Linked DNA regions of Saccharomyces cerevisiae S288C. Changing the gene in region 2 together with the main gene of any one other region gives a genetic interaction. Each region holds a gene or a part of one and is shown on either strand. Other genes may lie near its edges.

Evidence for each region. A genetic interaction does not mean that the proteins touch.
Region 1: mutations in SPE2 (region 2) and PPT1 together harm fitness more than expected from each alone (negative genetic interaction), as found in Saccharomyces cerevisiae (one large-scale study listed by BioGRID).

Annotation. Positions count from the first base shown.
Region 1 is NC_001139.9:736,545-740,301, reverse strand, and holds PPT1 (protein serine/threonine phosphatase), read left to right. Parts: upstream 1-2,098; coding exon 2,099-3,640; downstream 3,641-3,757. Other genes in the region: ASN2 (asparagine synthase (glutamine-hydrolyzing) 2), read right to left, coding at 1-358. UniProt on the Saccharomyces cerevisiae protein: Protein phosphatase that specifically binds to and dephosphorylates the molecular chaperone Hsp90 (HSC82 and HSP82). Dephosphorylation positively regulates the Hsp90 chaperone machinery.
Region 2 is NC_001147.6:231,880-235,636, forward strand, and holds SPE2 (adenosylmethionine decarboxylase SPE2), read right to left. Parts: upstream 1,758-3,757; coding exon 567-1,757; downstream 1-566. Other genes in the region: GAL11 (Gal11p), read left to right, coding at 3,061-3,757.

The sequences.
Region 1 (3,757 bases), on a different chromosome or scaffold from region 2:
ACATACCGTCCAGATATTTTGGAGCATCGATATCATGTTCCAAATATAACGGTATGATGGGTTCACAGTCACTGAAAGTTTGAAACTTGTAATCAGAGCACATCTCCCTTAGTTGGATGTGGTTGTAGATCTCACCATTAACGCCAAGCATATATTCGCCATCAGCTGAAGTGATTGGCTGGGCACCGGAGTCTAAACCAACAATAGCCAACCTCTCGTGAACGAAAATGGTGGAATTCATAACGGCATTTCCTGACCAATCTGGGCCACGGTGTCTGATTTTTTTAGATAGTTGTAGAGCTTTTGGTTTGAAGTTGTGAATATCTTCATGCTTGAAGGCTGCAAAGATACCACACATATTGTATTGTAGTGAGTATTTGTGTTTTGGTGAGCTTAACTGGGAAGCAAAAAAAATAGTATAAAAGTTAAATTAGAATAAATGAAACTAAGCAAGTGGCAAATCTTTGAAATATGCGATTCAAAGTCATAATTTTTTCAAGAAGAGAGGCTGGATGAGGCTTTACTGATTTTCTGGAGAAATCTTGCCATGAGTCAATGCTAAGAAAATTTGCAAAAACCCGCGCCGTGCGGCACCCATATGTGAATAAAGCTTTACTAGTAGATAGAAAATGTAGACCATTCCTGCAGGGTCCATACTACGGACGTATGGCTTTGTGAATCGTTTCACAAAGCCAAAAGAATGAACCCAATACGCAAGGTCCAGTTATGCAGAGAGCAGCAGGATAGCGGCTGTTGCACGCAACGAGACTGTTCTCTCATGTTTTCCACGATTTGATATATCCCCCTCTTAGTAAATACAGAGCCGTTCGAACGGTTTCTTTAGTAAAATCCAGGCTCCACCTTGATGGGAGGCATGATGAGTTCCAATTAGGAATGAGCAGGAGCTCACTTTAATCTTGTTATCGCAATGTGGAGTTAGCCTTAAGAACGTGTCCAAACCTCTTATGTATTGTTTTGTTCGTAATTTGATCGCTTTGTACGTGCAAATCGCTCTCTGCCCACAGCAGGAAGGACCACATAAGTGAATAAGTAAGTGGTGGTTCTATGATTTATCGGGATCTTATATTTGCATTCTAAAAAGTAAATGGTCTCTAGCGGGATCGAACCGCTGATCCCCGCGTTATTAGCACGGTGCCTTAACCAACTGGGCCAAGAGACCTATTTTTTTCGGAAGTCACTGATTAATAGTTTGATAATACAGGTGTAAAGAGTAGTATTTTCATGTGTCGCATTGTGTATGACAACATATGTGCGTTCGAAATAGATATAAGGCTTCTAATTTTCAAAGAAGGCGGTATCGTTAAGTATATGCATATGTTACGGTTTCACCTTGAGGATTAGAACTCTAAAAAAGGAAATAAGAGTGCTACAAAAAATGACGATTACTTCTTTTTTCGTTCTATGATATCGCCGCTCATTGTTCTATTACATCACCAATCCTTGAAATTTCAGCTTCATTGAATTGATGATGCTTTTAATAGAAACCATTTATGTCATATTTTGAGAGCCATACATGATAATATTCTGGTAATATAATCATAAGTTATTGGTTGTAGTTGGCGTAATATTCCAGGATTACGAATATGTATTTTATTTTACGCCCGCCATGTTGTATTTTTTTATCATAAAATTTTACACCATGACAAATCTAATACCACTGATGCAGTGTACTGTTTATACTTAAGAAATAGGTAAATTTTGAGATAATTGTTGGGGTTCCACAATACTGTCTGTCATCTTCTGTTATTCTGAGTATTTTTTTTCCTTTTAGCAGTTTCTTGTTCGTACCTTGGCCACTGAAAATTCTGGCTGAGACAATTATCAGGAACACTTCTAGTCCTCAAAAGTTCCTTCTCATTTTCTTCTTTATGAAAATATTTTTTCAATCATTGTATGTATGTATTTCTTTTTCCGTTAAAACGCTAAACCAGGGAAAAAAACGACGGCGGGAAACTGAAAAATTTCACAGATGAGGTAAGAAAATTGGCGAAAACAGCTTATAGAGCTTGACACAGAACTTTAACAATTTTAGAGGCAAGAAATAACGCTTGCCTTGGTATAATCAAATATCTCGAATATGTCAACACCCACAGCAGCAGATCGCGCGAAGGCACTTGAAAGAAAGAACGAAGGAAATGTTTTTGTGAAGGAAAAACATTTTTTAAAGGCCATTGAAAAATATACAGAGGCGATCGATTTAGATTCTACACAGTCTATCTATTTTTCGAACAGAGCATTTGCTCACTTTAAGGTAGATAACTTTCAAAGCGCTTTAAATGACTGTGATGAAGCCATTAAACTGGATCCCAAAAATATCAAAGCTTATCATAGACGTGCATTATCCTGCATGGCTCTGCTAGAATTTAAAAAGGCTAGGAAAGATTTGAATGTGCTTCTAAAGGCGAAGCCCAATGATCCGGCTGCTACTAAGGCGTTACTTACATGTGATAGGTTCATTAGAGAAGAAAGATTTAGGAAAGCTATCGGAGGCGCAGAAAATGAAGCCAAGATCAGTTTGTGTCAGACTTTGAACTTGAGTTCATTTGATGCTAATGCAGATTTAGCCAATTATGAAGGTCCAAAGTTAGAATTTGAACAGCTGTATGACGATAAGAATGCCTTTAAAGGTGCAAAGATCAAGAACATGTCTCAAGAGTTTATTTCCAAAATGGTTAACGATCTTTTCCTAAAGGGAAAATATTTACCAAAAAAGTACGTTGCAGCTATTATCTCTCATGCTGATACCTTATTTCGTCAAGAGCCATCTATGGTAGAACTAGAAAATAACTCTACTCCTGATGTTAAGATATCAGTATGTGGTGATACGCATGGCCAATTTTATGATGTTTTGAATTTATTTCGCAAGTTTGGTAAAGTAGGTCCTAAGCACACTTATCTATTCAATGGTGATTTTGTCGACCGTGGTTCTTGGTCGTGTGAAGTTGCACTATTATTCTACTGTTTGAAAATATTACATCCAAATAATTTCTTTTTGAACAGAGGTAATCATGAGAGTGATAATATGAACAAAATCTATGGGTTTGAAGATGAGTGTAAATACAAATATTCACAAAGGATATTTAACATGTTTGCACAAAGTTTTGAGAGCCTTCCATTGGCTACCTTAATTAATAATGATTACCTTGTAATGCATGGTGGTTTACCAAGTGATCCTTCAGCAACTTTGTCTGATTTCAAGAATATTGATAGATTTGCCCAACCACCTAGAGATGGCGCCTTTATGGAACTTCTATGGGCGGACCCACAAGAAGCCAACGGGATGGGTCCTTCTCAGCGTGGTTTAGGACATGCTTTTGGACCCGACATTACAGATAGATTTCTAAGAAACAACAAATTGCGCAAGATTTTTAGATCTCACGAGTTAAGAATGGGTGGTGTGCAATTCGAGCAGAAGGGTAAATTAATGACAGTTTTCAGTGCTCCAAACTATTGTGATAGCCAAGGTAATCTTGGGGGTGTTATTCATGTTGTACCAGGCCATGGTATTTTACAGGCTGGCAGGAATGACGACCAAAATCTAATAATTGAGACATTCGAAGCTGTTGAGCACCCAGATATAAAACCAATGGCCTATTCTAATGGTGGTTTTGGTTTATAGTCATGCCTTTTCTATTTTGCTAGATTATTATCAAAAGCAGAAAGTCTGGGAATAAAAGAAACTAATATGAGCTAACGAAGTGGAGGAAGTAACTTTTTTTTTTTTTTTATAAATTTA
Region 2 (3,757 bases):
TTTATATAAAAATGTATAAACATACTTGCATTATTGATGTCCCATAAGGGGTGAGAAAAGACAAAAATGGAAACAGGGGAAAAGAAGAAGAGTAAAAAAAGGATTATTTTAGGAGAGAAAGGGGATTAGAAGAACATCGGGCATAAACCTTTGAGCATCATCCTTTATTGATGTTTGACACCTTGCGATTGATGAAAAATATTGATGATATTAAGGTATTTCTGATAGCCACTGCCCCGTCCCTTGAAGCGGCCTTCCGTCGAGGCCTTGGCAACCGTGTCTGGGTGTGTGATATATTACATCAGAGGAAATAAAAGCTTGAGCGGCTAAACTCCCTTAGCTCAGGGGTGGTCTGGCCAGGAATTTTCAGTGGCCATTTTTCCTGTTCCGGGTCCGGCCAATCTGTGCCGGTTTTCTCTAGAGGAAAAAAAAAAGCATGCGGGGTAATGATGTAGAAGATATACAAGCGGGTTAAACTACATTAGTTATGAGTGCTAGAAAGCAAGCGAAGGATAATAGAAGAGGGCTATTCTATGTAAGTATGAGGAGACACAAATGGCGGCTTTTCATATTTTCTTCTGCAATTTCATATAGAAAAGGTGGTAGTCGTCCAGATCATAAACAATTTTGTCTAACTTGATGTAGTCGGGCAGTGACTCGTTGATGCTTAGTAGTTTTTGGAAGGATTGGTTCTGATAATTTTTGGTAAAAAAGGTCATCGAGAACTCTCTTGGTTGAAAAACGTTCAGAATATGTAGAAGAACGTCCAAGTTGTCTTGCTTCCCTTGGGAAATGTCAAATACGGGTATGTTACTTTCGAAAGAGGCGTAAGACCAACCCTTTTCCGGAGTCACGTGCAGGGTGTAATAGTATTTTTCAGCGAGAATCATATTGGATGAGTATCCACATGGCGTGAACGCAAATGCATCGTGGTGAAATGATAAATCGGAGTCTTGGGCCGAGTTGACATATATTTCGTCAAGCCTTGTATTTTTAGTCATTTGGTAGCCGAGGTTGTGGCCCTTATCTTCGTTTGGCTCCACGAGAGCGGTTGTGGATGCCTCAGGCCCGCAAACAAACTTACTAGCGCATTCTGGGTCCAGCTCCGTCATCAGTACTTCGAAAGTTTCGTCGTCATCCTCGATGTACTCCTTTCCCTTAGGTGTGGAGCGGTCCGTCTCGGTGACGTACAGGTTCCAGTGGTTGCTCTTGTCATTTCTTCCCACGGAATAACTTTTACCATTGTCGAAAAATTTGTTCAAATAGTCGACTTCGTCAGCCCAGTTTTGATGGATAGCGGCTTGCTTACAGGGGAAAAGGAAACATCGTCTAGAATAAAACACTTTAAATGGTTTGTACTTGCCCCCTTGTGTTGTGCGGAAAGCCCACGATAACTCTTGCTCAACGATCTGGAAAAGCTTTTCGAGACAGAACAATGTGGTTGTAGTACCGCACGTCTTCATCGTCAATTTGTGATCGAAGACGAAGAGGGAAGACTCACTCAACAAAAAGGCATCCAGTTCTTTAGTCTTCTTCATGGAAAGAACTTCGCATTTCACTAATTTCAAAATCTCGATCCATCTATCCATGCCAATATTTCTTAATGTCTTTTCGGTCGTGATGGACTTCTTGTGAGGGAAGAACCAGATTTCCAGCAACTTCTCGGGACCCTCGAACGCATCCGTTGAGTCTAAAGTGGCTGATAGTTCGTGGTCAATGTAGTTGTGGTTAGTCAATTCTTTTATGGTGACAGTCATTCTATGGTCCGCCTATTTGCGTAAGACACTATATGAAAACCTAAAAAATATAAAAAAGAAGCTACAGTACAGTAATTGATTAACCTGGAAGAAAAAAAAGAAAAAAAGAGTTGATGCAAGGAGCGAGCTGTAGCGAATACAATATATACACGTATAGATATGCAGAGATGCTTTTAGTCGATTAGCAAAGTTTATTCGATGCCTAAATACCGGAGAACCGTGTTTGGAATTTTTTTTCTTCGAGTGGAAAAAAGTGAAAATTTCCAAAGTCAATCATTGTGTACGTACGCTGAAATTGGATGCAGAAGAGGTAAAAGGCGAAGGAAAAGAGGGCGAGGGTAAAAAGCCTGATTGCCAAACCATGGTGCCCAATTTATTGGATATTACTACTGATGGAAGGCTACATATCTCTGGCGCTTTCTATCAGCTGTCATCGATTTGAAATTCTTCTAGCCCTAGGAACGCCATTATGGGGCTTATCCGGGTAGCCAGTTGGCGGTTTTAGTTTTTTCACTTCTTGATTTTTTTCTAGTTCGAAGAATTTTTTCCACTGATGATTGAGCTATAAAAGAGCCTGATTAAGATGAAGAGCTCCGATTCTCTTCGTTAACGGAGCATCAAACATGACGTTAGCGTCAAGTAACCTACGATATTTGTGCAACAGACATGATGGAGTACCCTCATGCTTTGGCGCGTGCGCATCTATATAAGGTTAGGGACTGCAAAAGAAGCGGCGAGGCAGCCCACATCAAGTGGAACTACACAGACTTCCTTGTCGCGATACTACGGTCCCAAGAGCAATCCTAACAAGCAATTACATATTCCCCCGCTGAACCTGTACAGTCCACGGATGGTGCAGAAGTTATATGATTTGGGGGAAGACGCTTTTTCACATCTTCTTGCATGATAAGAGTAGTAGTAACTAAGTAATATGATTCAGTCAGTCTCTAGTTAATATAATTAGGCATTACCCTACATTGTGGCGGCCTCTTTTTTATTTCGAATCGGGCCTTCCTTCCACCCCGGCCCCGGTTGCGTCGATCAGAAAATTATATTATGGATGAGGATGATGAAGGTGCTTAACCTTTACAGTCAAACTTTTAATAGTCAACCATTCACAAGGACTAGGAATTTGTCTCTGGAAACAGCTGGTTCCACAAAGAAGTACTTCCACGACATTGCTATATACTTGTGCTGGTATATTTTTCTTTGTTAGTTAAACCCCATTTTTATAAGCGTATCGTTTCGTATAGTGCCGTACTCAAAGATCAAGGATTAAAACGCTATTTCTTTTAAATCTGCTATGTCTGCTGCTCCTGTCCAAGACAAAGACACTCTGTCCAATGCCGAGCGTGCGAAGAACGTCAACGGGTTGCTTCAGGTGCTCATGGACATTAACACTCTGAACGGAGGGAGCTCCGACACTGCTGATAAGATAAGAATTCATGCCAAAAACTTCGAGGCAGCTTTGTTCGCAAAGAGCTCTTCAAAGAAAGAATACATGGACAGCATGAACGAAAAAGTTGCTGTCATGCGCAACACGTACAATACGAGGAAAAACGCCGTTACTGCTGCTGCCGCTAATAACAACATTAAACCCGTGGAACAGCACCATATTAACAACTTGAAAAATTCTGGCAACAGCGCCAATAATATGAATGTCAATATGAATCTAAACCCACAGATGTTCTTGAATCAGCAGGCTCAGGCAAGGCAACAGGTTGCGCAACAATTAAGAAATCAACAACAACAACAACAACAGCAGCAGCAGCAACAGAGGCGTCAATTGACTCCTCAACAACAACAATTAGTGAACCAGATGAAAGTGGCACCTATTCCCAAACAATTACTGCAAAGAATTCCTAACATTCCACCCAATATCAACACCTGGCAGCAGGTCACTGCTTTGGCTCAACAAAAGCTATTGACACCTCAGGATATGGAAGCTGCGAAGGAAGTCTACAAGATTCACCAGCAGTTGCTATTCAAAGCAAGGCTAC